Linked DNA regions of Anolis sagrei. The main gene of each other region encodes a partner of the protein of the gene in region 2 in a complex. Links are inferred from orthologs where the notes say so. Each region holds a gene or a part of one and is shown on either strand. Other genes may lie near its edges.

Region 1 (7,655 bases), on a different chromosome or scaffold from region 2:
AGGAAGGAAGGAGAGAGTGAGAAGGAGGGAGGGAGTAGGGGAAGGAAAGAAGGATGGAAAGAGAGAGGGAAGAGAGAGAAAAAGAGTAAAGAATGAAAGATAGAAGAAGGAAGGAAAGCAAGAGGAAGTGAGAGAGAGAGAGAAGGAAGGAAGGAAGGGGAGAGAGGAAGATGGGGGAAAGATGGATGGAAAGAGAGAGGGAAGGAAAGGAGAAAGGAGAAAGAAAGTGGGTGAGAGAAAAGGAAGGAAGGAAAGAGGAAGAGAGAGAAATGAAGGGAGCAAGAAGGAGGGAGGGAATAGGGGAAGGAAGGAAGGATGGAAAGACAGAGGGGAGAGAGAAAGAAAGTAAAGAATGATAGATGGAGAAGGAAGGAAAGGAAGAGGAAGCGAAAGAGAGAGAAGGAAAGAGAGGGAGAGATTCAAGGATGGAAAAAAAGATGGATGGAAAGAGAGAGACGGAATGAAGGAAATGAGAAAGTGGGGGGGGGAGAGGAAGAAGGAAGGAAAGGAAGAGAGAAAGTGAAGGAAGAGAGCAAGAGAGAGAAGGAAGGAGTAGGAGAGGAAAGAATGATGGAAAGAGAGAGAAGGAAGGAAAGTAAAGAAGGAAGGAAGGAGAGAAAGAGGGGGAGGAAATAGGCTGGAAAGAGAGGGGGAAGGAAAAAGAGAGGAAGGGAGGAGAAAAAGAAGCAAGGAAAGTAAAGAAGGAAGGAAGGAGAGTGAGAAAGGGGTAAGAAATGAGGATGGAAAGAGAGAGGGAAGAATGAGCAAGAGAAAGAAGGAAAGAGAGAGAAAAGGAAGGAAAGGGAAAAGTGATGGAAGGGGGGAGAAGGAAGGAGGGAGTAGGGGAGAAAAGAAGGATGGAAATAGAGAGAAGGAAGGAAAGTAAACAAGGAAGGAAGGAAGGAAGGAAGGAAAGAGGAGGAAGAAATAGGCTGGAAAGAGAGGGAAGGAAAGAAGAGAGGAATGTAAGGAAGAGAAGAGAGGGAAGGAAGGAAGGAGGGAAAGCAAGAGGAAGGAAGAGAGATGGAGAAAGTAGGGGGAGGAAAGAAGGATGGAAAGAGAGAGAGAAGGACGGAAGGAAGGAAGGAAAGAAGGCAGGAAGGAAGGAAGAAAAGAAAGAAAGAGAGAGGAAGGAAGAGAGAGAAGAAAGGAGGGTGTAGGAGAGGAAAGAAGTATGGAAAGAGAGAGAATGAAGGAAGGAAAGAAAGAAAGAGGAAGGAAGAGAGAAAGAAGGAAGTAGGGAGTAGGGGAGGAAAGAAGGATGGAAAGAGAGAGAAGGAAGTAAACAAGGAAGGAAGGAGGAAATAGGCTGCAAAGAGAGGGAAGGAAAGAATAGAGGACTGTAAGGAAGGAGAGAGAGAAGGAAGGAATGAAAGTAAGAGGAAGGAAGAGAGAGAAAGGGGAAGTAGGGGGAGAAAAGAAGGATGGAAAGAGAGAGAAGGAAGGAAGGAAAGTAAACAAGGAAGGAAGGAAAGAGGAGGAAATAGGCTGGAAAGAGAGGGAAGGAAAAAGAGAGGACTGTAAGGAGGGTAAGAGAGAGAGAAGGAAGGAAGGAAGGAAGGAAGGAAGAAGGAAGGTAAGCGGAAGAGAGAGAAGGAGCGAGTAGGGGGAGGAAAGAAGGATGGAAAGAGAGAAGGAAGGAAGGAAGGAAGGAAAGAGGAAGGAAGAGAGAAAGAAGGAAGGAGGGAGAAGAAGAAGGAAAGAAGGATGGAAAGAGAGAGGGAAGGAAAGAAAGAAAGAGGAAGAGAGAGGGAAGGAGGGAGTAGAGGGAGGAAAGAACAGTGGAAAAAGGGAAGGAAGGAAGGAAGAAGGGAGAGAAAGAGAAGGATGGAGGGAGGGAGTAGAGGAGGAAAGAAGGATGGAAAGAGAGAGAATGAAGGATGGAAAGGAAGAGGAAGGAAGAGAGAGAGAAGGAAGGAGGGAGTAGGGGGAGGAAAGAGAGAAAGAAAGAAAGAAAGAAAGAGGAAGGAAGAGAGAGAGAAGGAAGGAGGGAGTAGGGGAAGGAAAGAGAGAAAGAAGGAAAGAAAGAAAGAAGAAGGGGGAGGGAGAGAGAAGGAAGGAGGGAGTAGGGGAAGGAAAGAGAGAAAGAAGGAAAGAAAGAAAGAAAGAAGAAGGGGGAGGGAGAGAGAAGGAAGGAGGGAGTAGGGGAAGGAAAGAGAGAAAGAAGGAAAGAAAGAAAGAAGAAGGGGGAGGGAGGGAGAAGGAAGGAGGGAGTAGAGGGAGTTAAGAACAGTGGAAAGAAGGAAGGAAAGAGGAAGGAAGAGAGAGAAGGGGGGAGGGAGAGAGAAAAGGAAGGAAGGAGGGAGTAGAGGAGGAAAGAAGAGTGGAAAGAGGGAAGGAAGGAAAGAAAGAAGAAGGGAGAGAGAGAGAAGTAGGGAGGGAGTAGGGGAGGAAAGAAGAGCGGAAAGTGGGAAGGAAGAAACGGAGAAAGCAAGAAAGAAGAGAGGGGAGGAGGGGAGGAAAGAAAGGGTAGAAAGAGAGAAGGAAGGAAAGGAGAGAGAAAGGAAAGCAGGAAGGAGAGAGAGAAACGTGGAGTGAGGGAGGGAGGGAGGGAAAGAAAGGGAAGGAAGGAGAGAGAAGGAACGAAGGAAGGAGTGAGAGAGAAGAAAGGAGGGGAGAGAGAAACGTGGAGGGAGGGAGGGAGGGCAGGAAAGGAAAGAGAGGGAAGGAAAGAAAGAAAAGAAGGAACGAAGCAAGAAGAGAGAGGGGAAGAAAAGTAAAGAAGGAAGGGAAGAGAGAGAAAGAAAGAGAGAGAGAGAGTGGAGGAAGGCAGGCACACTCACTCACCTCGTCCCACTTCATGAACTTGCTGCCCTTGAGGAGGGTCTCGTGGACCTTCAGGGGCTCCAGCTGGAGGGCATGGACCCCCGGGCGGCCCCCAGCCATGGCGCCCCCTCCCCGGAAAGCCAAGCCAAGCCTTTGCCTTTGCCTTTGCCTTGCCTTGCCTTGCCTTGCCTTGGCTGCTTGCTTGGGCCGGGAGGGGCGAGGCTAAGCGAGGCGGGGTCTGCCTTTGGGGACCCTCCCTTTCCTCCTCCTCCTCCTCCTCCTTTTGGGAGGAGCCCCATTCCCTCTCATACCTCAGAACTCTGTAGCCCAAGCATGGGCCCTCCAGGAGTTTTGGACTCCAACTCCCACAATTCCTAACAGGCGTAGGCTTTGAACTGGATTATAATATTCCACACCTGGAGTATTGTGTCCAATTCTGGGCACCACCATTGAAGAGAGATGTTGACAAGCTGGAATGTGTCCAGAGGAGGGAGACTCAAATGATCAACAAACCCTATGAGGAGCGGCTGAAAGAGCTGGTGAAGTTTAGCCTGCAGAAGAGAAGGCTGAAATCGCCTAGCATCTTGGATGGAGGGCAATTAATAAGTAATTAAATGATGATGATGATGATGATGATGATGATGATGATGAGAGAAGGCTGAGAGGAGACATGATACCCCTGTATAAATATGTGAGAGTTGACAAGCTGGAATGTGTCCGGAAACGGCGACTCAAATGATCCAGGGTCTGGAGAACAAGCCCTATGATGAGCGGCTTAAAGAGCTGGGCATGTATAGCCTGACAAAGAGAAGGGCAAGAGGAGACATGATAGCCTGGTATAAATATGTGAGAGTTGACAAGCTGTCCAGAAACGGTGACTCAAATGATCAAGGGTCTGGAGAACAATCCCTATGAGGAGCGGCTTAAAGAGCTGGGCATGTATAGCCTGACGAAGAGAAGGTTGAGAGGAGACATGATAGCCTGGTATAAATATGTGAGAATTGACAAGCTGTCCAGAAACGGTGACTCAAATGATCAAGGGTCTGGAGAACAATCCCTATGAGGAGCGGCTTAAAGAGCTGGGCATGTTTAGCCTGAAGAAGAGAAGGTTGAGAGGAGACATGATAGCCCTGGATAAATATGTGAGAGTTGACAAGCTGGAATGTGTCCGGAAACGGCGACCCAAATGATCAAGGGTCTGGAGAACAAGCCCTATGAGGAGCGGCTTAAGGAGCTGGGCATGTTTAGCCTGAAGAAGAGAAGGCTGAGAGGAGACATGATAGCCATGTATAAATATGTGAGAGCTGACAAGCTGGAATGTGTCCGGAAACAGCGACCCAATGGCTTCTCTGTGTAGTCTGACATGGTGGTTGTTGTTGTGGTCCAGCATTTCTGTGTTCTCAAATAATATGCTGTGTCCAGGCTGGTTCATCAGGTGCTCTGCTATGGCTGACTTCTCTGGTTGGAGTAGTCTGCAGTGCCTTTCATGTTCCTGGATTCGTGACTACACAGAGAAGCCACTGAAATCCACAAGCATGTGGACAATTTCAACAGAAAGGAAGAGACCATGAAAATGAACAAAATCTGGCTACCAGTATTTAAAAACTCTAAAATTACAACAGCAAAACAGCAGAGAGGAAACAACCAGGCACATCTTAACACCTCTCAACAAAAGATTTTCCCAGGCTCAGCCAGGCCTTCAAATGGTAATGAAGGTAGTCAGTTGAAACATTCACACCTAGCTCCAGCAGAGAAGAGCTCTTTGCCCCACCCCAGCCATTCCACAGATATATAAACCCATTGTCCTAATTCCAACAGACCTCACTACCTCTGAGGATGCTTGCCATAGATGCAGGCGAAACGTCAGGAGAAATGCCTCTAGAACTTGGCCCTATAGCCTGAAAAAACCCACAAGAACCTAGTGATTCCAGCCATGAAAGCCTTCGACAATACAATTTTAACAAATATAAACTTATTAGTATTTCAATGGGAAGTGTGGGCCTGCTTTTGGCTGATGAGATAGGATTGTTGTTGTTGTTGTGTGCTTTCAAGTTGTTTCAGACTTAGGTTGACCCTGAGCGAGGGCCGGGTAAACGACCTTGGAGGGCCGTATCCGGCCCGCGGGCCTTAGTTTGAGGACCCCTGGTACACAGCAAATAGAGGAATTGCACCCAGCCAAACACGGACCTGGACCAAACTTGGCACACGGACCCATCCGTGCCGGACTTGTAGTTCGCACTGCATTTAGAGATATTACCAAAATAAGTGAGAAATGTTGGAATATTTGCCTTTAGATTGTAACAACAGCGCTGCACTCTGCTTTCCTCATTTCTTTGAAAGGGAAAGTACCAAACAAGAAAATAAACTGTGGACAAACTGGTTTTCTTGCCTCGAACAGGCTGTGCAAGATCCGCTGCCATTCATTTCAATCAGCTTCCACTCCCTTCTCTAGTTTCCCTGACTTTATAATAGCTTACACTACTTTATTTCTAGTTTAAAAGTGAGACAAATCTAATTCCGATTCATGTTACGAGTGGAATCTAAAACATCTGGAGTGCCCAAGGTCTGCCTGGAAGCAAGACTGGGAATCATGCAACTTTGCAGATATTCAACTATCAATCAATGGCTTGTACTTACTTAGACAATCCCTCATTGTCCAAGTGTGATGGCTGTTGGAGTTCAGCGTGTGGTTGTGTTTCAGGATCAGGGTGCTTTGGATGTGGGGAATGATGTTAATGAGGTTCTGAAATGGCAGGGAGAAGGTTTGAGGGAAAGAGGCAAAGAGAGTCCCTGAGGTCTGAAAAAGTACGGTTTATTCTCAGTTGGTATGGACCCTGCTGGTAGTCCAGAGACAGGGCACCAAACAAAGAAAAGCCTTGGTTTATATACCCTTTAACATAATATGCATGCATCATACAGGCATCATAATGTGCCTCACAAAATTCTACTTTTACATTTATTTATTAATTAATTTATTTACTTTATTTGTATACCGTTCTCAGCCCTTAGGCAACTCAGAGCGGTTAACAACAAACAGCAGCAACAATTCAATGCTATCATCATACAAACCATTTAAAAACAATTAACATAATAATACACTAAGCAATTAACATCAATAAACCTCAGTAAACAACTCATTAGCGTCTCATAACTAAAATAATAATCCAAGCTCATCATCCGTAGTTCCGATTTCCTATAATTCATTATAATTCATTGCACTGCCTATTCAAACGCCTGTTCAAATAACCAGGGTTTCACTTTCTTCCGAAATGCCATTAATGAGGGAGCCGATCTAATGTCTGTGGGAAGGGCGTTCCACCACCGAGAAGGCCCTGTCCCTCGTCCCCGCCAACCGTGCCTGAGTTGCAGGCGGGACCGAGAGCAGGGCCTCCCCAGAAGATCTTAAAGTCCTAGTGGGTTCATAGGCGGAGATGCATTCGGATAGGTAACTTGGGCCAGAACCGTCTTTAGGGCTTTATAGGCCAACACCAGCACTTTGAATTATGCCCGGTAGCAAATTGGTAGCCAGTGGAGTTGGCACAACAGAGGAGTTGTATGCTCCCTGAGCGCCGCTCCTGTTAGTATAGCTGCCGAACGTTGAACCAGTTGAAGCTTCCGAGCAGTCTTCAAAGGCAACCCCAAGTAGAGAGTGTTGCAGTAGTCTAAACGGGATGTAACCAGAGCGTGGACTACCGTGGCCAAGTCAGACTTCCCAAGGTACGGGCGCAGCTGGCACACAAGCTTTAGCTGTGCAAATGCTCCCCTGGTCACCGCCGAAACCTGGGGTTCCAGGCTCAGCGATGAATCCAAGATCACACCCAAGCTGCGAACCTGCGTCTTCAGGGGGAGTGCGGCCCCATCCAACACAGGCTGTAACCCTATGCCCTGTTCGGCCTTGCGACTAACCAGGAGTACCTCTGTCTTGTCTGGATTCAGTTTCAATTTGTTCGCCATTGTTTGACTTCAATGGCATATTTTAACTTCAACACCTGTCAGTCTTCATTTAAGCACCTTTATCTAAGGAGCTGCTATTAATGAGAACCATGCACCAGAGTGTCTACTAGGCCACTGATAGCAAAGAGCTTCCATCCATCTTGAGATAAGTTCTTCCTGAAGCCTCTTGATGGCCAGCTCATTAATCTTAGAATAGGAGCCCCCGGTGGATTGAAGACCGACAGGTCGCAGGTTCGAATCCGGGGAGAGCTCCCTCTATCAACTCCAGCTCCTCATGCGGGGACATGAGAGAAGGCTCCCACAAGGATGATAAAAACATCAAATCATCCGGCCGTCCCCTGGGCAACGTCCTTACAGATGGCCAATTCTCTCACACCAGAAGCGACTTGCAGTTTCTCAAGTCGCTCCTGACACGACAAAAAAAAATCTTAGAATCATAGAATTATAGAGTTGGAAGAAACCTCATGGCCCATCCAGTCCAACCCCTTTCTGCCAAGAAGCAGGAAAACTGCATTCAACGCACCCCAACAGATGGCCATCCAGCCTCTGCTTAAAAGCTTCCAAAGAAGGAGCCTCCACCACACTCCGGGGCAGAGAGTTCCACTGCTGAACGGCTCTCACAGTCAGAAAGTTCTTCCTAATGTTCAGGTGGAATCTCCTTTCTTGTAGTTTGAAGCCATTGCTCCATTGCGTCCTAGTCTTCAGGGCAGCAGAAAATAAGCTACTACTGCAACGTTCTCTCCGTGGGGTTGCCTCTGAAGACTGCCCGGAAGCTCCAATTAGTCCAACGAGCGGCAGCCATATTACTAACAGGAGCAGAATACAGGGAGCATACTATTCCTCTGTTGCGCCAGCTCCACTGGCTGCCGATTAGCTTCCGAGCACAATTCAAAGTGCTGGTGTTGACCTATAAATCCTAAACGACTCCAGCCCAG
Region 2 (7,850 bases):
TGATCTCTGAAATGGTAGGAGGCAAGATTTATGCTGATCACTGCATCTGGTTCTTGCCATTTCACAGATCCTCAGACTCTCTCCAGCCTTGTGTCTTTTACACAAGTAGAAAACAATGGAAGCTATCCTAAAAGGCTATTATAGCAGTACTATATTCCAAAATAAAAACAATTAAAAATCAAAATACAGACAGTCCTCAAGTTACAAACATCCAACTTACAAATGACCCATAGTTAAGGATGAGGCTGAGACAACAGGAAGTGAGAAAAATCTGCTCCTGGGAAGGGAAATTCACTCCTGAAAGATTTATCATGGGGGAAACTTTCTCACCAAACCTTGTTTCCACAACAAGGCAAATTTTTCAAAATCTGAAATAGACAATGAATCAAATGACATAAAGGAAGGCTAGAAAATGAGGTAAAATCTTCTATACAGGAGGCACAGACGATAAAACAAAGACCATAGGAGTGTTAACCCTTCCCTATGCTATCCAAGGCACTTGAAAAATGTGCCTGTTCTGACTTACATATCTTATTCGAAACTTGGGGACTGCCTACACAGAATATTTTGGTCTGAAGCATTTCAGATAAAAGATATGCAACCTGTACTATCTCTTCATGAAGGATTGGTTGAATCAGCCCTGGAGGGCGCAAAAGTATGTATTCTACAACCAGATACCCTCAAGCAAAACAGCACATATGTATATCTGAAAGGAGAATGCCCTTAAGTTGTGCTAAATCAGAACCTAAATCTCTGCATTTACAATATTGCCTATGTTTTGTTCGAATGTGTAACGATCTAAGATCCACAAAGGGGAACACAGTTATGTTCAGGGAACTGTTATAGATGCAATTCTTTAAACCAGGTCATAAATGTGAAATGTAAGATACAATTATTCTGCAATATGAATATTCTTCATTAGAAGTGTCCTATTCATTCCACACTCTTACAGGTAAAGCAGTGAATGCTAACCCAAAGGGAATGTCTTATAGCACTTCAGGGAAGTGGAAAAAACAACCTCAGAGTGTGCCTTGTCTCACGTATCTGGCTAGTTATTATTGGAGATATCTCCATGGTTGTCATGGAGGCCATGAAGTCCCAAGCTGACCCTAAAGAGTCAGTCTTGACATAAATGGTGAGGCTGTTTCTTAACAACAAGCTATTGCCATAGTTGTCATCTTTGTGTGAAAACACAATCATGTGAATCCACTGAAAAAGCATAATGCTTTATTGCCTATCTTCATAATATTGTTCATATTCTATCAGTACCAGCAGTGTACATAGCACCTAACAATTATACAGGCAAAAAAGTCACAAGATGCTTTAATCTGAAATAGACAATGAATCAAATGACATAAAGGAAGGCTAGAAAAGTGGGGGTAGGAAGGGAAGGGAGGAATGTGGGTGATGCAGTTCCAAAACCAAGGATGTAAAATCATGTCAACATTTCAAAAACTGAACTTTGAGAAGAAGAGAGGAAGCATCATATAAAAGTTCAGGAAAGCCATTCAATGCATAGGAAAATTACTTCTTGGTATCATCCTAGAAGGGTAATTTGTAGATACAATTTTATTTTTAAAAACTAAACCAAACATGCTTGTGATTTCTAATGAACTAGACAAAGATAGGGATTGTCTCTTTGTATCTTAACCACAGCTTGCAACTGAAAGTAGTAAATGAACATTTTGCAGGACGAAATGAACTTCAGCCCTCATTAATGTCTGCAAAAAAAAAAAACTACTATCGAAGCACAAATACCGATTAAAATGTTGGCTTGCTCCTTGAAACTGAAGAATCCCTAACAGTAATTCTTTTTATATTTAGAGGAACGCTTACCAAAAGTAAATTCCATATGGATTAAACAAGTGCAATATTACGGATGGCTTAAAGTAGTGGTTCCTAACCAGTGGTCCACAACAACTAAAATGTGGTCCGTGGCCTCACCATTACTACAATATTGCAACGAGAGCGACCTGTCTCGCAAGACCCTCTTATAGTGCTGAGGCTTATTAATTTTTTTTTTTTTTGTGGGCGAGCAGATAGCGACTATTGGATGGCATATGTTCTGTATAAAAAAACTACAGCTGATGTGGTCTATCCAATGCACTTTTCTGACTCAGCACCCCAAATAACCAAACCAGATCTAAAGTTGACCAAAAACTGATTTGTAACCCTTTTGGTACTAATGTTGGAGAGTGGTCCCTGGTCAAAAAAAGATTGGGAACTACTGCCTTAAAGGAAGAAAAGAAAATTGGAAGATAACGTTTCCATGTCTGGTTTGTGATGCCTTTTTTTGTAACACCAGGAATGATTCTATTTTTATTTTTGCACTGGAACCCCATTTGGGCCACTCCATGGCAACTCATTTCCATTAGACCCAGAAACAAGGCCAATTGAGAAGAATGATGGGAGCTGTAGTCCAGTTATTCTAGGGGAATGTAGATTCCACACTACATGCCACTGAAAACAACAGGATTTACACAATACATAGGATCCCTTAAAGAAGATAGGTTTGTGTTAGATCTGTCACAGCAAGAACCTATATACAACATAGAAAAAGTATTGACAGTTATGTAGGTCCCAAATCTGTATTACAAACCAGTACTGCTTTGACCAAAGCAATGGGCACAAAGTCTGTGCAAGCTTTCAAGGTCTCCAGAACTATTTGTCAAGCAAGACAGTGTGAGAAGCAGGATGTCTCCGAGTATGGAACGAGCTGGCTATTCCTTGACCTCTCCCTGGTGTTTTTCACAGCACATGATACATTGACATAGGCAGGTGATGTTTATTTTCTATGTTGTGAAAACTTCTGACTTTTTGCAGGTCCTGCTGCTGTTAAAGGTAAAAGGGCAGGTTGGCAGCAACCCTCTTCTTACATTCTGCCTAAACAATCTTTATACATCCTTCTCTAGCCTTTGCCCAGCTTGAAGGTTTCCAGTTCTGAAACATTGAAGAAAATGGGTTTTCGCTGTGCAGTTCATAGAATCATAGAGTTGGAAGAGACCTCGTGGGCCATCCAGTCCACCCCCTTGCCAAGAAGAAGGAAAAATGCATTCAAAACACCCTCGATAAATGGCCATCCAGTCTCTATTTAAAAGCCTCCAAAGAAGGAGCCTCTGCCACAGTCTGGGGCAGAGAGTTCCACTGCTGAACGGCTCTCACAGTCAGGAAGTTCTTCCTAATGCTCAGGTGGAATCTCCTTTCCTGTAGTTTGAAGCAGTTGTTCTGTGTCCTAGTCTCCAAGGCAACAGAAAGCAAGCTTGCTCCCTCCTCTCTATGACTTCCCCTCACATATTTATACATGGACATCATGTCTCCTCCCAGCCTTCTCTTCTGCAGACTAAACATGCCCAACTCTTTATGCCACTCCTCATAAGGCTTGTTCTCCAGACTCTTGGTGATTGTAATCTCCCTCCTTTGGACACATTCCAGCTGTCAACATCTCCCTTCAACTGCGGTGCCCAGAATTGGACACAGTGTGATTTCAGGTGTAGTCTGACCAAAGCAGAATAGAGGGGTAACATGACTTCCCTGGATCTAGACATGATACTTCTATTTATGCCAGCCAAAATCCCATGGGTTTTTAAGCTCCCGCACGACATTCTTGGCTCATGTTAATTTTCCTGTCCACGAGGACTCCAAGATCTTTTTCACATGTATTGCTGTCAAGTCAGGCACCCCCCTGAGACAACCTTTTCCCATGACTCTTCCAGGAGAGAATTTCCCATTGGGAGGATAGCGTTCTCTCACTTCCTGTTGTCTCACCCACCAACCCCTGAGCTCTTGGTGGTGCAATATGTTAAACCCTTGTGCAGGCAGCACTGAAGACCGACAGGTTGTAGGTTTGAATACGGGAAGAGCGCCGATGAGCTCCCTCTGTCCGCTCCAGCTCCCCATGCAGGGACATGAGAGAAGCCTCCCACAAGGATGGTAAAATATCAAAACATCTGGGTGTCTCCTGGGCAACGTCCTTGCCAATGGCCAATACTCTCACAACAGAAGTGACTTACAGATTCTCAAGTCGCTCCTGACACAAACCAGCCTCCCAAGTCCCCGGATGGCACAATGGGTTAAGCCCTTGTGCTGGCAGGACTGCTGACCAAAAGGCCTGCAGTTAGAATCTGGGGAGTGGCGTGAGCTCCTGTCTGTCAGTTCCAGCTTCTCGTGCAGGGACATGAGAAGCCTCCCACAAGGATGATGAAACATCTGGGCGCCCCTGGTTAACGTCCTTGCAGACAGCCAATTCTCTCACACCAGAAGCAGTTTCTCAAGTTGCTCCTGACACAAAAAAGGGCCCTTCCTTTTGTAAGTCGGATGTTTGTAACTCAGGGATTGCTTTTATTTGGAAGACCTCTTTTTATGTGATTCAACCCAATCTAGATGGAACATCTCATCCAATTCTCCAACGCAGTGGCCTAAAATCCAGGAAGCCTCTTACTAACATACAGAAACTAGACCAAGAATGTACCATTAGACCTCGGCTCTGTTTTTCCGTTTTATTTCCGTGCCCCTTGAACATTGTGTTGACTCTCCCCCCCCCCTTCTAAAAATAAGAAAGACCTTCCATAAGGTGTGATTTGCTTAATTCTGAGAGAAACGGGTGGGAGGGAGAGAGGCGGCAATGAAACAACCACGCGCAAAAAAAAAAAAAAAAGAGGAGGAAAAAAACCCTGCCCTGAAGGATTATTTTGTTTCCAAAAGGGAGGGAAACAAATCGTGGCTGCTTTCCTGTCTGGGGGGGGGGGGGGGGGCTGCGAGTGCAAGAAGGAAGGTGGGGAGGGAGGGAGGGAAGCAAGGGTCGGGAGGCTTTGACTTCGGGGGAAGGAAGCGGAGGAGGAGGAAGAGGGGGCGCGGAAAGAGGGAGGCCAGCCAGCCAGCCAGGAAAAGCTCCGCCATATTTCTGCCTCCACCACGCCCGGGAAGCCGAGCGAGGCAAGGCTACAGATAGGCTCCGGCCTCCGCTCTCGCCAGAAGACCCACAGCCTGGCCCTCCTTGCCTTGCCCCCCTCCGCAGGGGAGGCAGAGAGAGGGAGAAAGAGAGAGAAAAGCAAGCGCTTCCCTGCCTCGGAAGGCAAAGCCCCCCAAACCCCACTGAAGCTTGTGATTGTATCCAAGGCGGGGAAGGCGTCCTTCTTTTCTAGGAAGCTTGTAATTTCCTACAGATAGGATAGAGATTGCGTGGAGGCAGGGCGCGAACAGTCCGCCTCCTGAGGCGGGGAAAGGAAGGAAGGAAAGAAGCAAGGAGGAAGGGAAGGAAGGCAGGAGGGGCAGCCTGGGCGTCCGCTGGCCCTGCGAAGGGGATTCTCGGAGGCCGGGGCGAAAGAGGGCGGGGTCCGAGGGGCGCCTGCCTGGGCTCCTCCTCCTCCCAGTGGATGCCTCCCTGTTGTTTGGCGCAGGGCTGAGGCTGGGAAGGAGGCGGAGGCTCGCCCGGAGGCACAGGGCCGGGCCAAGGTGGGCGAGGGGGCTTCGCGGAAAGGGAAGGCAGGCAGGCAGGCAGGCAGGACTTGCCCGCGCGGTGGGTGCGCCGTGCGCGTCTCCCTCCGCGGGTGCGCCAGGACTCGCTCTTTCCCCCTTCCCTTCCCTTCCTCCTCTCCTCTCCTCTCCCCTTCCCCTCCCTCGGGGCTGGCTCGCTGTCTCCGGGCATTGGGAGGAAGAGGAAAAGGGAGGAGGGCGTCGGCAGAGGGGGTCGCTGCCTCGCCGAGCTCGGAAGCCAAAGGGCGTTTGCTCTCTCCTCCTCCTCCTTCTCTTCTCCAGAGGAGGGGCCCTCCTTCTCTTGTTTGGCTCCCCTGGTTGTGTTCCTTTGGGGGACGGGGCCCCCGCGCCTGAGCCACTGGGGAAGCATGACCCTGGAGTCCATCATGGCGTGCTGCCTGAGCGAGGAAGCCAAGGAAGCGCGGCGGATCAACGACGAGATCGAGAGGCAGCTGCGCCGCGACAAGAGGGACGCCCGGAGGGAGCTCAAGCTGCTGCTCCTGGGTGAGTCGCGCCTCCAGACAGACCCCACGCATCATCCCCACCCCCCCTCCTTCCTCTGTATCCCCTTTCCTCGCCCCCCTTTTGCCCCAGATTGCCTCCCCGCCCCTCAGCCAGGAAACGGGCGCCGCTTCCCTTTTGGATTGCTCTTGGGGCAAAGACCGTCGCCTGGTGGTGGTGTGTGTGCGTTTGTATGTGTCTTTGAGGGCATGAGCCTTGTGGGCTTGGGCTCCTGGTTCGGCGCAGTGGCGAACCTTGTGGCGATGATGATTCACAGCCCAGCAGCCGCAGCTTGGGGGGGGGGGGGGAGGAAGGTGTGTGCGAAGGAGGGGGGGGGGGAGAAAGGAGAAGCCACGCCGAGTCGCGCACCCTCCCCTTTCCCTCCATCCTCCCTTCCATCCCTCCTTTCCTTTCCTTCTCACCTCCCCCCTTCCCTTCCTCCTCCTTTCCTTCCCACCTTCCACCCCTTTCCTTCCCACCTCCCTCCCACTTCCCTCCCCTTTCCTTCCCTCCTTCCTTCTTTTCTTCCATCCCTTCCTCCTCCTTTCCTTTCCATCTCCCTCTCTTCTTTCCTTCCTTCTTCCCCCTTTCCTCTCTCCCTCCCTCCCCTTTCTTCTTCATTTCGTTCCCTTCTCTTCCTCCTCCTTTCCTTCCCACTCCCTCTCCTTTCCTTCCCTTCATCCCCCTTTCCTTGCCACCTTGCTCTCTCTTCTTTCCTTCTATTTCTCCCCCTATCCTTCCCATTTCCCTCCCCCTTTCCTTCCTTCCTACCTCACTCCCCCTCTCCTTCCTTCCTACATCCCTCCCCTTTCCTTGCTTCTTCCTTTCCTTTCTTCCCTTCCTCCTCATTTCCTTCCCACCTCCCTCCCCTTTCCCTCCTTCTTCCTTCCCTTCCTCCTCCTTTCCTTCCCACTCCCTCCCCTTTCTTTCCTTCCCTTCATTCCCCTTTCCTTGCCACCTTGCTCCCTCTTCTTTCCTTCTATTCCTCCCCCTATCCTTCCCATCTCCCTCCCCCTTTCTTTCCTTCCTTCCTACCTCACTCCCCTTCTCCTTCCTTTCTACATCCCTCCCCTTTCCTTGCTTCTTCCTTTCCTTCCTTCCCTTCCACCTCCTTTCCTTCCCACCTCCCTCCCCTTCTTTCCTTCCTTCCCTTCCCATCTCTCTCCCCTTTCCCTCCTTCCTACCTCCCCCCTTCTTTCCTTCCTTCCCTTACCCCCTTTCCTTCCCACCTCTCTCCCCTTTCCCTGCTTCCTTCTTTCCTTCCCACCTCCCCCTTCTTTCCTTCCTTTCTGTTCTCCCCCTTTCCTTCCCGCCTCTCCCCTTTTCCTCCATCTTTCCTTCCCACCTCCCCCTTCTTTCCTTCCTTCCCTTCTTCCCCCTTTCCTTCCTGCCTCTCTCCTCCTTTTCTTTCCATCTCTCCCCCTTGTTTCCTTCCTCCTTTCCCTTCCTCCTCCTTTCCTTCTCACCTCCCACCCCCTTCTTTCCTTCCTTTTCCTCCCTCTCCCCTCCCACCTTCCCCCCTCCTTCATCTTTCTTTCCCTTTGCAACTCCCACCCTCTCGTTCCCAATGAGTGCTTGACTCCCTTCCCCCCCCCTTCACCTTGGGTTTGTTGCCTCTCTTTTTCTGTTTGAAAGCAAAACAGATGTAGGTAGAGGCGAATGGCTCCTTCAGAGTGTAGTGGGTGGCTCTCCATGTGTGTGTGTGTAAGAGAGAGAGACACACAGAGTGGCTAGTTGCCAAAAATGGAGAGAAAAGGAAGCGGGTGGGTGAAAGAGAGAGTGAGCTGGTAAGTGAGGGAGAAGAATTAGAGAGCCATTCAGACACTAGTGTATGGTGGAGAAGGAGGGAAATGTGCACCCCTCTTCTCCCCTCCATT
Region 3 (7,101 bases), about 39 Mb from region 2:
GAGGTGCCTTCCAGCACTATGATTCTATGTCCCATAACAAATTGGCTCAAATTAAACACCTATTTTTAGACAGTTGACAAGCTTCACATGTTGGGTGTGTTTCTTTTGATCTCACCAGCTAGCAGACTAGTTCTACATGTTTGGTGTTATATATCTCAAAATATCCAGTCATGAAGGAGGAGAAATTTACTCCGAAATGTGTCAGTGGTTTATACATTGTTACATTGAGCCCTTGGTGTCTGCTGGGGTTTGGTTTCAAGGCTTCCGCTGAATACCAAATCTGTGGATTGTACGAATTGACAACAAATTTGGACATAATACACCTATCAGACCAACGAGTGACCATCACTCATAAAAACACTGGAAAACACAGCAGAAAAGACTTAAAAAGCCAAAAACCAAAAAATACCTTACAACGCATGTGCAAAACCACACACATACATATATATGCAAACACACATGCATACACAAATATATACACACACATATACACATATATACACAGAGAAAACACATATACACAGACTGGGCCACAACAACGTGTGGCAGGGGATGGCTAGTGGCATAATAAAATGGTTGTCTCTTATACAAAACAGCATGAGCTCCTGTCTCAGCTCTAGCTCCACATGCGGAGACATGAGAGAAGTCTCCCACAATATGGTAAAAACAGCAAACATCCAGGCGTCCCCTGGGTAATGTTCTTGCAGGCGGCCAACTCTCTCACACCAGAAGCAAGTTGCAGTTTCTCATGTCATTCCTGACACACACACACAAAATCCTGGAGTGCATCTGACTGTGGAATTAACACAGTTTGGTGCCAATTTAATGGCTCGGGAAGCGATAGTTTGGTGAGGCACTTGTATTCTTTGGCAGAGAAGGCTAAAGGCCTTGTGAAATTACAACTCCCACAATTGCATAGCATTGAGCCAGGGCAGTCAAAGTCTCACACCAGAAGAAAACTAGCAGTTTCTTAAGTCGCTCCTTATATGAAAAATAAAGAAAAAGAAAAAACTGCCTTGGTTTGAGAGCAAGTCCCACTCAACTTATCAAATCCCAGAGTAAACATGGGCTCAGATCTTGCAGCCAGGTGCAGAGTTGAAACCAATGGATTCAAATGAGAAACATTTGACTAAACATTAGGAAGAAATTTGAGAAGGTAAGAAGAACCATTCCACAGGAAACGTCAGGAGAAATGCCTCTAGAACATGGCCATATAGCCCGAAAAAACCCACAAGAACTGAGAACCATTCCACAGTTTGGGAGGGGGGGGGGAGGACTACAAGGTTTTGAAGCCAAGGGGTGCATCTACGCTGTAGTATTAATGGTGTTTCACCACAACATTGCCCTCAGTGCAATGTGTTAAACCCTTGTGCCGGCAGGACTGAAGACCGACAGGTCGGAGGTTCGAATCCGTGGAGCGTGTGAATGAGTCCACACTGCCAGATAATCTGGGATAAACAGAAAAGCTGAGATCGGATCCTGAGATATAGGGCCTGTGGGAAAGGGCCCTATGATAATATAAAAAGGAGGGGAAGAGAGCACTTCTCTTCATCTCTCTCCTTTGAGTATCTCCTTTTTCTTTTCTTGTACATGTTTACTATGTAAACTAAAACAGTATTTCATCATGGTTTCTTGGGCAATTCAAACATGTTCTGAAGTATAAAAGAAACCTGGATTTTCTTGATTGGATAATGAATTCCCTTAGCATCTAGTAGTAATGTATGCCTTTGCAAGGCATGAGTTTTGATGTGTCATCACTTTACTATAAAAATGGTGTATTAGGCTGGATCTACGCTGCCCTATATCCCAGGATCTGATCCTAGATTATCTGCTCTGAACTGGATTAAATGAGTCTACACTAGTAGACAATCTGGGATAATAATATAATCTGGTAACAGATCCTAGGATATAAGGAGCCCCTGGTGGTGCAGTGGGTTAAACCCTTGTGCTGGCAGGACTGACAGGTTGGAGGTTTGAATCTGGGGAGAGTGTGGATGAGCTCCCTCTGTCAGCTCTAGCACCCAATGTGGGGACATGAGAGAAGCCTCCCACAAGGATGGTAGAACATCAAAACATCTGGGTGTTCCCTGGGCAATGACCTTGCAGACGGCCAATTCTCTCACACCAGAAGCGACTTGAAATTTCTCAAGTTGCTCCTGACATGAAGAAAAAAAACCAACATTGAATTGCCATGGCTCAATGTTATGGAATCCTTGGAGTTGTAGTTTGGCAAGGTCTTCTCTTGAGTTTTCTCTGGCAAAGAGGGCAGGTGCCTCACCAAAGTACAAATCCTGGGATTGCATAGCATTGAGCCATGGCGCATGATCAGTCTGCATTCATTCTACAGTGTAGATCAATGGGCGAACTTGGGCCCTTCAGGTGTTTGGACGTCAACTCCCACCATTCCTAACAGCCTCAGGCCCCTTCCTTTTCCCCCTCAGCCGCTTAGCGGCTGAGGGGGAAAAGGAAGGGGCCTGAGGCTGTTAGGAATGGTGGGAGTTGACGTCCAAACACCTGAAAGGCTGAAGTTTCCCCATACCTAGTGTAGATGCACCCAAGGATGCTTCAAATTGAGGCTTTGCTGCACTGAAAGTGACACTGGATGCTCCATAGGGGTGGATCTTTCACTGGAGGACCTCTTTACCCCTTGCTGGAAAGATCCCCTTGATGGACTGCAACCCTCACCGGTGGGGATTCCGGGCGCTGTTTCCCACCCCCAAAGCTCCATTTTCCCCAGTCCCGGCCCCTTCCCTGCCCCACCCCACCTGGGGAAAGGTGAACGTCGCTTCCCCCTATCTCACCTGTTGCTGAAGCGGCCACCAGAGCTGCCCCCAAGGCCAGGGTGCCCAGCCAAGCCCGGCCGAGGCGCCCCATTCTCCAGGCACGAGTCCCGCGTCCGAATCGGGAGAGAGAGCGCTTCCTTCTCCTGTGGTCGGAGCCTCCGGAGTTTCGGTGGCACCTCAAGGGGAGGGCGGGGGAGGAGGAGGAGAGCCCAGGGGGCGGGGCTTAGCAGCACCTTCGTGGCGTCACCGCCAACTCCACCCGCCCCCGCGCCCAGGTGAGCTCAGCGTCCTGGAATTCCGGCCGAAAGAGGAGGAGGAGGAGGACGCACAGCGCCCACTCTAAAGCAGGCCTGGGCCAACTTGGGCCCTCCAGGTGTTTTGGACCAACTCCCACCATTCCTAACAGCCTCAGGCCCTTTCCTTTTCGGCTGAGGGGGGAAAAGAAGGGGCCTGAGGCTGTTAGGAGTTATAGGAGTTGAAATCCAAACACCTGGAGGGCCCAAGTTGGCCTGTGCCTAGTGTAGATGCACCCAAAGATGCTTCAAATTGAGGCTTTGCTGCACTGAAAGTAACATTGGATGGTGGGAGTTGAAGCCCAAAATACCTGGAGGGCCCAAGTTGGCCCATGCCTGCTGTGAAGTCAGTGCAGTTTAATAGCACATGGACTGCTATGGCTCCATGCTGGGGGATTCTGGCAGCCATTTTTGAGAGATGAAGCAGGGTATAAATCTTTGTTGTTGTTCATTAGTTCAGTCGTGACTTCATGGACCAGTCCACGCCAGAGCTCCCTGTCGGTTGTCACCACCCCCAGCTCCTTCAAGGTCAATCCAGTCACTTTAAGGATACCATCCATCAATCTTGCCCTTGGTGGGCCCCTCTTCCTTTTTCCTTCCTTTTTCCCCAGCATCGTTGTCTTCTCTAAGCTTTCCTTTCTTCTCATTGTGTGACCAAAGTGCTTCATCTTGGCCTCTACTATCCTTTCCTCCAATGAGCAGTCAGGCTATATTTCTTGAAGTATGGACTGGTTGGATCTTCTCGCAGTCCAAGACACTCTCAGAACTTTCCTCCAACACCACAGCTCAAAAGCATCGATCTTCCGTTGCTCAGCCTTCCCTAAGGTCCAGCTCTCACATCCATAGGTTACTACAGGGAATACCATGGCTTTGACTAGGCGGATCTTTGTTGCCAGTCTGATGTCTCTACTCTTTACTATTTTATCGAGACTGGACATTGCTCTCCTCCCAAGAAGTAAGCGTCTTCTGATTTCCTGGCCACAGTCTGCATCTACATTTGTTCACTCCTGATATGATAAATAAAATAAAATTTATCCCAATCAGCCCCACATATGTACTTCTCAAATGTATTGTTTTGCTTAAATATAGAGTTGTTTTATATGCTAATTTTGGGCCATACATAAAATATATTTTTTCTGATATGAGATTCCTAATACATTGTCCGTTTGATGTATGGACCAAGGTAGAAATCTCTCACCTCCTGATACAATTTACAATCAAATAATATGTGTCTATATCCTGAATTTCAGGTGCTTCGCAGATACAAATCCATTCATTATAAGGGATGCTGTTAAATTTCCCATATCCGACCATTGTATCAAGCTGATCAGATCTAGCTCAAGTGAATACCTCCCCTAAAATGTTTTGGCATTTGCATTTTTAGTTGGCAATTTGAAAGATAGGTTTATATTGACTCGGCCATTTTAAGGTGGCAACCTTACTGAGGGTGGCTATATCTTTTTGTGCCTCTATATCCAAAATTCATTGAATAGCACTCTTTATATCATAAAACTATCGACTATATCATAAAAACATAACAACATTTAAACATTAACATGTGGAGTTAAAAACATATCAGAAATAAACATTACAATCACATAATCCGGAAATTATGGTCCAAGTCCATTCCAAATATCAAATATCAATTACATATAATCCCTGATCATTCCTTGTATTGCTTACTGCCCAAAGGCTTGGTCCCATAGCCAAGTTTTACTTTTTTTCTGAAGGTCAGGAGGGAGGGCACTGATCTAATTTAGTTGGGGAGGGAGTTCCATAGTCGAGGAGCCACCACTGAGAAGACCCTGTCTCTTGTCCCTACTAGTCACACCTGCGAGGGGGGTGGGACTGAGAGAAGGGCCTCCCCAGATGATCTTAACTTCTGAAATGGTTCACAGAAGGAGATACGTTTGGACAGGTAAGCTGGGCCGGAACCGAGCTAAACTCCAAGCTAAACATATCTAATTCCTCATAGGGCTTGGTTTCCAAACCTTTGCTCATTTTCATCACCCTTTGCTGGACACATTCCAGCCTGTCAATATCCTTCTTGAATTATGGTACCCAGAACTGGACACAGTTTTCCAGGTGGGCTTCCTCATACATACATACATAGAATAAATCACTGAGTTTTTTACTTAGGTGGTTAAGTTTTAAACCTATATTCATTCTCATCTAGGAGTAATCCTTCCCACATATTGTGAAAGGCTTTCATGGCCAGACTCACTGAAATGTTGTGTGGCCATGTTCTAGCAACATTTTCTCCTGATGTTTCACCTGCATCTGGCATCTTCAGAAGATCTTTCCTATGCTTAATTCATTTCTAATCATAGAAAGGGAAGATATATTATTCTGTAGGGCTGTCTAACAGCTTCACTGCACCCCAGCTGAAAGAATGGAGCCCCTGGTGGTGCAGTGGGATAAACCCCTGTGCCGGCAGGACTGAAGACCAACAGGTCGCAGGTTCGAATCCAGAGAGAGCGCGGATGAGCTCCCTCTGTTAGCTCCAGCTCCTCATGTGGGGACATGAGAGAAGCCTCCCACAAGAATGGTAAAACATCAAAACATCCTGGTGTCCCCTGGGCAACGTCCTTGCAGACAGCCAATTCTCTCACACTAGAAGCGACTTGCAGTTTCTCAAGTCACTCCTGACACACAAAAAACCTGAAAGAATGCTCAGCTGCTGACACAGTCAGAGGTGAAAGGAAAGTCCAAAGCTGCACAATAGGAACATGGAAAATAAGAAGCATGAATCAGGAGAAGTTTGCTCAAGCAAAACAAGAAATGGAATGTGTAACAGTGCAATACTTGGGGCGAGTGAGCTAAACTGATCAGGAATGAGACATTTTGAGTCAGAATTACACAGTCTTGTATTCTGGAAATGAAAACCCAAGAAATATTGGGGTGATTAAACACAATCTCTTGTTAATAATTGGCGACTGGAACACAAAAATAGAAAACAGAGCAAAAGTGAAGATTTATCTGTCTTTTCCCCTATTCTGTTCGCTATTTAAACCAATGATGGGTGGCCTGCGGTCCCACTATAACCTATGGAGAAGCAGTTTCTAGAGTTATTATAACATTCCTTGAAATGTTGTAAAATGTATTAAAATGATAATATTGGTGGAAAGTTTTTTTCACTTTTGTCATTATCTTCACATTTTTGTTTTGCCTACTTTTGAATGAAAATCAAAAGCACTTCTAGCCTTCTCCCCCTTGAAGCATTAACAACACAGAGAGGTGGCAGGTTCCCAGCATCAGATTAAAAAAAAAAGATTCCTAGTAGGAGTCTTGTGGGAAATGGGGACAGGAGAGGTAGTCGCCACTGTTGAAGTAGATAAGGCTTCACACATATTTCTCTATTGCGAGAAGAAGTTAAAAGAAGCCATTCCCAAAAGGATGCAATTGGGTAGAATACAATAGTGAAATAACAGGGCAATTCAGATGGAATGCACCACAGGGATTCTGACATGCACTTGCAAATCCATCTTCCCGAATGGCCACCAGTGCATTTCAGATTTTACTGCATCTTTGTTGGCTATGTAGTTTTATTGGCTATTGCCTCTCACTTTTATTGTTAATTTGATTGCTTTTCAAAAACATCATAGGTTAAATGTTTAGCTCAGATGTATATTCTGGTCTATGCATTTTAATAATACATCCATCATGTGATTATAGTTATTAATCTCTGCTGGAGTGCCTGTATTGTGCAAATTGTACTTATTAAACGTTATACGTTATATTCCTGCTTCTTGGCAGGGGGTTGGACTGGATGGCCCATGAGGTCTCTTCCAACTCTTTGATTCTATGATTCTATGATTCTATACTTGTCCAGTTGATTCAGCCAGTCTAGTTGAGAATAACAATCTGATTTTTTTTAGTCTAGATCTCTTACAACACTGGCCCCAATCGACAATTTAGCTCACTAAAAGGATAGAATTACAATAGGAAAATAATTATTCGTTTAGCCTGAGTAGAAATTCTGACATTCATATATAAAGCAATCCTCAAAAAAGGGAGAGAAAAAC
Region 4 (7,017 bases), about 27 Mb from region 2:
CTTTGTATGCTAGATTCAGTGGGTCTCTTACATTCCTTATGCTGTCAGGACTGGATATGAATTTAAGTATTGTACCTTTAAAGATTGCCAATTAAAATAAATTTCAGATTACTCGACATGATGCAAAAAAAAAATCAGTGGAAAGTGAATCCTAGTTTGCTAAGAAAAAAATGGAAAGTGATTCCCTCCAAAACACGATCCTTGAATAGCAGACTGCCTAATTCAATTTCACACTTCCTGAGGGAGATCAGGAGAAGCATCTTAAAGGGAATCCAATGATTGACTTCCTTTCAATGTGGTAACATGTTGGAGGTTTATGATGCTTTTGTAAAGTTTGCTTCTATTAAAGATGTCAGAGAGCATAACTGATGTAGTACTTCCGTACTACAAAATGCAATTTTTTCAGAGAACTCACTTTTTAGGATTGCAAACAGAATTTATTGGGTTTGAAATATGTAATAGGGTCTGAGTGGGAACAGCAACTGTGTCATGCTGTCCAAGTGACCACTATAAATAATTCAATTTTACCATGCTAATAGATTTGTTTCCTTGTAAGCATCACCTCATAGTTCCTAATTAAAAGATGTAAAGTGGAATTGAATTTTTATTATTATCTGACAAACTTGGGAGGCATAAGATTCCATTATCTACTTTCTCAGGGTAATTTCCCTCTTTTTCTCTCTTCCGCATTAAGGAAACTATGCACATCTGCATTGAAATAACTACTTTTTTCTTGCCACTGGAAGAGAACTCTTGCACATATTTTTTTTCTTTATTAATGAAGTCAGGGGAGAAGAGTCACATACAGTTCACAAAACCTGGGGTACAACCATATACATATTCCCAGGCAGCTAATTAAACTTGATATATGAGCTTTGGAAACTGTTTTTTTTTGGGGGGGGGAGTTGAATGTCCAGGAAGACCTAACACCGTAATCTGGTCAAGTATCATTTTGTGAATCTAAGGAACCCTAGAGCCAAGATTAAGTTGTGACTCCAACAACTCAGGATTGACCTTTCTCTCACCTCCTGAGCCCCACCCTCTCAGCCTCAAGGTAATTAAAAATAAAAGGATATGTATAGGTGTTTCTTGTCACCCCAGGAAACACCGACACATAATGTAAAGGTAAATGTTTCCCCCTGACATTAAGTCCAGTCGTGCCCCACTCTGGGGTGTGGTGCTCATCTCCATTTCTAAGCTGAAGAGCCGGCGGTGTCCTTAGACACCTTCAAGGTCATGTGGCCAGCATGACTGCATCCATATACACACACATGAAATCATACATTTCTTTAATTAACAAAATTCACTCTGCCAGGTTTTCTGGGACTGTCTCTTTCCTTTTCTCCTTTCTAACTTCTTCACTGTTGCAAAACTTTGCCTAATTGAACTGCCCGCTCCAATATGTTACTATTCTGTTTTTACAACTGTGCTTCTGTTGTACAGCTGATCAGGGCAACACCCAAGGTTATCAAATATCATAATTTATATTATGTAGTGCTTATGTGACTTTGGACTATGTGGCTGTCTTGGGAAACAAGACAGATTCTTCCACTTGACTCCCCGCTGAGAGACTGATTGCCAACAATCCCCAGGACCCAGGAGTCACTTGATTGACTTTCTGTTTTTCTGAGCCTTAGAGACAGAGCACAGACGGTGTTCAGCTAAGATAGCTGCTAAAAAACGCTGAGCTAATTGGGAGACGCCCTAGCACCTCCTACGTTGGGAATTCAGGGCTATAAATCAGAAGCAGGAGCAGACAGCTTTCGCTGGTAACAACGATCCTGATACTGCTGTTTTCACTCCAATGGAATCTGCTTTGTGTCTGCTTCTAAAGACTTAGTTCATTGACCGTTGTCTGATGGAAGACTGCTGTTTCTTTTGGGAAATTGTAAGAGACTTTAATTTGTGTCTGGATTAAGATTACCTTGCTTTCTTTTGCACTTTTCAATTGTATTTGCTTATCCTTTGTATTTGCTGAAGTAAAACATTTTTCTTTTACTTTCAACATTGTCTAAATGCTGTTTTTGAAGGGCAACTCAGGACAATTCTACCTTAATTCAAAAGTGAGGTGCTATCTGCAGCCCAAAGAGACTTAGCATATCTAATTTCAGCCCCTTACTACTGGGAAATTGTGCAGGTCTGATTTAGACAGTATTTCTCTATTGATGCAACCCAGAGTTGCCGCACCACACTGTTGACTCATGTTCAGCTTGTGGTGTACTAAGACTCCTAGATCCCTTTCACGTGTACAGTTTTCCAGCAAAGTGTTACCTATTCTATATCTGTGCATTTCATTTTTACTGGTAAATGTAGCTGTGGTGTTGCAATAGGTTAAACCCTTGTGATGGCTGAACTGCTGACCTGAAGGTCGGTGGTTCAAATCCACGAGATGGGGTGAGCTCCCATCTATCAGCTCCAGTTTTCCATGCAGGGACATGAGAGAAATGTCCCACAGGATGGTAACAACTGATTCTCCCACACCAGAAGCAACTTACAGTATGTTCTCAAGTCACTTCTGACACTATAACAATTGCATTAGAGACTATGTTGTCTGATATGATACATGGAGTACCTTCAAATCACAGATATATAACATTCTGGGTTAGATGAACCAACATCCGAACTTAATATAACAACGTCATACATTCATGGATAGGCAGCACTTGTGACCACAGTGGGAAATGACTTTAAAAAAAGACCCAACAGGACAAATTCTAGACTATTTACAAAATCAGCATTTGGTTTCACTTCATAGAGATGGGAACTATGGTCACTGGAGTTCTTGAGCGTATATTACATATTTTTGCGTAAGCTTACCTTATGCACTCTACAGATTCTGGCCGAGACTTCAGATCCTGGTGTTTAGCAGCTACTCCAAAATGAATGGGAAATAGTCCACCGAGAATAATATCTCCTTTCTTTTGTGCCCTTTGATTTGGTCCATAGGCAGAGGTATTCCAAGTAAACGCAAAGAAAAGCAAATAAAAACTATAAAAAGTCATTGTTCCTCCTTTTCACAAAGGGATTATCTTGCAAACTTCAAAATGTAAGAAGGATAAATGTAATACATTCCAACAAACTGTTTCTCTTTGGAACAGTGCACACGATGGATTTGGCAGACATGGCTAATTGATGGTAATCCACTAGCTGTAGTTATCCATCTCACCAGTGGGTTTCTTCATTACACTCTGCAAAGTCCAGCAGCTTCTTGAGGACCACTACAGTGTTAGTTTGCCTAAAACAGAACAGATGTAAAAGAATCAGCTCAGATGCACAAAGAAATAATGTTGAACTTTCAGAGAAAGAGCCCCTCTCCCCTCCTCAAAATGCATTATTAATCTTTTATTCCTCACAACTAGCACATTAACCTTAAACAATAAGGATCTTCATACCTCTCCAGAGGTGCACTTTTAAAGTTAGGCTTCTCAACATTTATTTTTATTTTTTCATTTATTAAAAGTATTTAGATATTGCTCACCAGGATCCGTATGGTGATCCGCATCAGATAAAAACAATTAAAAGATTAAATATATAGATACAAATGTTAAAAAGAAACTAAAAACAATGGGTTGTTGTGAGTTTTCTGGGCTGTATGGTCATGTCCCAGAAACATTCTCTCCTGATGTTTCGCCCACATCTATGGCAGAGGTTGAGGGGTCTGAGGTTCCCTGCCATAGATGTGGGTGAAATGTCAGGACAGAATGCTTCTGGAACATTGCCATATGGCCTGGAAAACTCACAGCAACCCAGTAATTCCGGCCATGAAAGCCTGACAACAAACTAAAAGCACTCATCATAAACAATTTAAAGGCAATGTATTGTCAAAGTTTTTCATGGCTGGAATCACTGGGTTGTTGTAAGTTTTTCGGGCTGTATGGCCATGTTCCAGAAGCATTCTCTCCTGACATTTCACCTACATCTATGGTAGGCATCCTCAGAAATTGTGAGGTCTGTTGGAAACTAGGAAAATGGGGTTTCTATATCTGTGGAAGAAAGAACTCTTGAAAATGGGGTTTCTATATCTATGGGAGAAAGAACTCTTGTCTGTTGGAGCTACGTATGAATGTTTTAGTTGGCCACCTTGCTGAGCATTTGATGGCCTGACAGTTTTTAGAAGTGGCTTGTTACTGCCTGGGGGAATCCTTTGTGGAGAAGTGATTAGCAATCTCTGATTGTTTCTTGCCTGGAGTTCCCATGTGTTTTAGTGTTGTTCTTTATTTACAGTTATAATTTTGGAAGTTTTTTTTTTTGTACTGGTAGCTGGATTTTATTCATTTTCGTGGTTTCTTCCTTTTTGATGAAATTGTCCACTTAGCTTTTAATGACCTAGCAGTTTTAAGGTGAGGCTCCTTGCTGCCTGGGGAAATCCTTTGTTGAGATGTGATTAGCTGTCCCTGATTGTTTCTTGTCTGGAGTTCCCCAGTTTTTGAGTGTTGCTCTTTATTTACTGTTTAAAAGCAGGCAATTAAAACAGCAGAGCAATATCAAACACCAAAGACTAGATGGAACAATACTGTTTTAGCTGCCTGCTCAGAAGAGATGGAACCAGCTAAACATCTTTTGGCAGGAAATTCTACAGTCAGGGTTCTGCTAGAGAGAAGGTCCTGCCATATGAACACCAACTTAGTCTTATCAGATGCTGAGATATGCAACCCTGAGGATCTCTAAATTAGGGCAGGCTCATGTGAGAGAAGGCGTTCTTTCAAATATCCTTGAACAATGCTTTTAAAAAGATTTTGCTGGTCAAAATCAGCACACTGAGTTACTATCAAAGGTGAAATGGAAGGCAGTGCAGTTCTTGTAAGATTCATGGTTATGTGGTCTTTAAGTACATATACCTTCAATAGTAGGGATGCTGTATTAGTTGCAGCGCCTGAACAGGGCAGCATCATATAGAATATGTTTAACAATCTAACCAGGTGGCAACTAAGGCCCCATCTACCTTTAATGCAGCTTGAAGCTAGCTTCAAACCTGTGGTGATAGACAACAGACTCTTGTGAGAAAGAAGTGTCTGAAAGAAAGCCCTTAAAGCACATCAATGTTCTGTGTAATAATTGCCGGGGCATCAAACTGGTTCCAGGGTTTCCTATGTAATAATCTGCTCAGTGGAATCACTTTCTTCAATGCCTGTTTGAAACTGACTTAAGTGATCAGTGTAGATGTGGCCTAAGGCATGATAGCACAACATTGCCAAGCTGAACCAACTGAAGCAGAACATGTACACTCCTGGCCACTGCAGCTACCTGGCCTTAAAGCAGTCCTACGTCCAAGAGCATCCTTATGAATCTGTGCTTTCACCAGGAGTGCAAGCATACCCAGAACAGCAACGATTCCAAATTCCAGGTTAGACTTCCTCCCGACCATCAGTGCTCCTATCTTGTATGGTTTGATCTTCAATTTGTAGGCCGACATCCAATTCTTCTTTGCATGACTCAGGACTTCAACTACCTCCCTGCCAACAGTTGTAAAGGACAGCTATATCTGGGATCATCAAAACTTTGGCGACACACAGCCACAACACTCCAGATGGCTTCCCCTAGCAGCTACATGTAGATGTTAGAAAACATAGAAGGCAGAACTGAATCCTTTGGATATCCATGAAGGCCACAATTCATACCTCTGACCTAGATGTTCTTCATTATTTGGTTATTACACTGATCTATAACTTTGCCATGTAAAATATGCCAACCATCTCTCATATGTAAATAACCAAAATAAACAAATGCCAATGAAATAATTGTCACAGAAGTAGCAACAATGCAAGTCCATAAAATACTGTACACAGAAAAACTGCCACTTGAAACTTACTATCAAATCTGTCGGAAAGTTGCAGAACTTTGTCTTTCCCTGCTTCTAAATGGACATCAAATTTAGGACCAGGCTTTTTCACATTTGGGGTGACACAATCAAGAAAGTATTCTGCTCTTTCACTACCCACCTAATGCACAGACCATGGAAAGATTTGGAAGAGGATCTCTGCTGAGATGTGTAGAATATCGATAGCTTCTGGTCAACGGAAGATGCCTTGGACCAAATTTATCTAGGACTTTAAAGGTAACCATCATCACTTTAAACTGAGGGCCCTTCCACACAGCCCTATACCCAAGAATATTAAGGCGGAAAATTCCACATTATCTGAGTGTGGACTCAGATAATCCAGTTCAAGGCAAATATTGTGGGATTTTCTGCTTTGATATTCTGGGATAAAGGGTGTTTGGAAGAGACCTGCACTTCCCTCACTGTGGAAGAACATGCGAATCAAGAATAGGGCTCCACAGTCATGTAACCACCATCACTACACTTGGAAGGCTGTCATATTTGGGACAACAAGGGATTGCCTAAGTAAATAAGAAAACGGAACATGTCCAGTTCATAAGCTATTGGGCTTCAAAACATTCCTTAAAATCCATGCCATTGCTCTCATAGTATCCCTATGAATAAATGGAGTTGGAAAGTCATTTGTACTTTAGGCTATGCTATCAATCTATGACTTTCAAGCAAATCATGAGATGTCACTAAATTCCCTACTATTCCAATTATTTCCCTGGTTGCTTGTTAGAAGCAGAAAGACAAATGAAACTAGTGCAACCCCACAAATAGCTTTACTTATTTATAAGAGCAATTGTTTTATGCTTCTTGCTATTTAAGATGGCTTACATAAACAATATGATAAGTCTAAGAAAAAGAAACCATTTTTAAAAAAGGAAAACAGTGCTATAAATAGCCAGTATGAGTGGAAAAAGTGCTTAACATCTTCCAGTTACGTTTTCAGTGATAAAATCAAATCCGCAAAACCTTTTAACAACAAATCAGAAATAACAGCCAACAAACATAAGGAAAGAGCACAAATCTATGTTTTAGGGAAAGATAAGAGCATCCCAAAGCAAAGCCTGAACTACCTTTAAAATAAATAAAATGGTCCTTGTATAAACATGCCCTAAAGCCCTAAACAGTCCGGGTCCAGGCTATTTAACTAAACGCATTCCGCAACCAATACAGACACTGTGGTCATTGGG

The links.
Region 1: the proteins of guanine nucleotide-binding protein G(q) subunit alpha (region 2) and PLCB3 are in contact, whole or in part, in a cryo-EM structure (PDB 8UQO), measured with the Homo sapiens proteins. The link is inferred for Anolis sagrei from reciprocal best matches to the Homo sapiens genes GNAQ and PLCB3. Residues at the interface, in NP_002063.2 of Homo sapiens: Pro185, Thr186, Thr187, Ile189, Glu191, Pro193, Arg202, Gln209, Arg210, Ser211, Glu212, Arg213, Arg214, Lys215, Trp216, Ile217, His218, Val240, Glu241, Glu245, Glu249, Glu250, Ala253, Leu254, Arg256, Thr257, Ile258, Thr260, Tyr261; in NP_000923.1 of Homo sapiens: Pro257, Arg258, Leu259, Asn260, Glu261, Val262, Leu263, Arg707, Asp709, Lys710, Ile719, Asp721, Gly722, Ile723, Val724, Ala725, Ser845, Asp846, Tyr847, Ile848, Pro849, His852, Tyr855, Ala856, Ala858, Leu859, Ile860, Asn861, Pro862, Ile863.
Region 3: the proteins of guanine nucleotide-binding protein G(q) subunit alpha (region 2) and F2RL1 are in contact, whole or in part, in a cryo-EM structure (PDB 9D0A), measured with the Homo sapiens proteins. The link is inferred for Anolis sagrei from reciprocal best matches to the Homo sapiens genes GNAQ and F2RL1. Residues at the interface, in NP_002063.2 of Homo sapiens: Arg37, Ile323, Tyr325, Asp346, Ile348, Leu349, Gln350, Asn352, Leu353, Glu355, Tyr356, Asn357, Leu358, Val359; in NP_005233.4 of Homo sapiens: His108, Pro109, Ala110, Met114, Gln172, Arg173, Val176, Ile177, Pro180, Met181, Gly182, His183, Ser184, Arg185, Met265, Met268, Leu269, Met274, Asp275, Asn277, Lys280, Lys281, Arg284, Ala285, Leu288, Ile289, Tyr344, Tyr345, Val347, Ser348.
Region 4: the proteins of guanine nucleotide-binding protein G(q) subunit alpha (region 2) and CASR are in contact, whole or in part, in a cryo-EM structure (PDB 8SZG), measured with the Homo sapiens proteins. The link is inferred for Anolis sagrei from reciprocal best matches to the Homo sapiens genes GNAQ and CASR. Residues at the interface, in NP_002063.2 of Homo sapiens: His63, Leu196, Gln197, Ser198, Ile323, Tyr325, Ile337, Arg338, Phe339, Phe341, Ala342, Lys345, Asp346, Ile348, Leu349, Gln350, Leu351, Asn352, Leu353, Glu355, Tyr356, Leu358, Val359; in NP_000379.3 of Homo sapiens: Lys644, Ala645, Asn647, Arg701, Val702, Leu704, Val705, Phe706, Ala708, Lys709, Ile710, Pro711, Thr712, Phe714, Phe801, Arg873, Thr876, Ala877, His879, Ala880, Phe881, Val883, Ala884, Arg886, Ala887, Thr888, Leu889.

The regions. Positions count from the first base shown.
Region 1 is NC_090032.1:16,250,932-16,258,586, reverse strand, and holds the start of PLCB3 (1-phosphatidylinositol 4,5-bisphosphate phosphodiesterase beta-3), read right to left. Parts: upstream 3,010-7,655; 5' UTR 2,887-3,009; coding exon 2,788-2,886; intron 1-2,787. UniProt on the Homo sapiens protein: Catalyzes the production of the second messenger molecules diacylglycerol (DAG) and inositol 1,4,5-trisphosphate (IP3).
Region 2 is NC_090022.1:225,883,420-225,891,269, reverse strand, and holds the start of guanine nucleotide-binding protein G(q) subunit alpha, read left to right. Parts: upstream 1-4,843; 5' UTR 4,844-5,840; coding exon 5,841-5,976; intron 5,977-7,850.
Region 3 is NC_090022.1:264,603,917-264,611,017, reverse strand, and holds the start of F2RL1 (proteinase-activated receptor 2), read right to left. Parts: upstream 3,014-7,101; 5' UTR 2,875-3,013; coding exon 2,802-2,874; intron 1-2,801. UniProt on the Homo sapiens protein: Receptor for trypsin and trypsin-like enzymes coupled to G proteins.
Region 4 is NC_090022.1:198,540,904-198,547,920, forward strand, and holds the start of CASR (extracellular calcium-sensing receptor), read right to left. Parts: upstream 3,003-7,017; coding exon 2,818-3,002; intron 1-2,817. UniProt on the Homo sapiens protein: G-protein-coupled receptor that senses changes in the extracellular concentration of calcium ions and plays a key role in maintaining calcium homeostasis.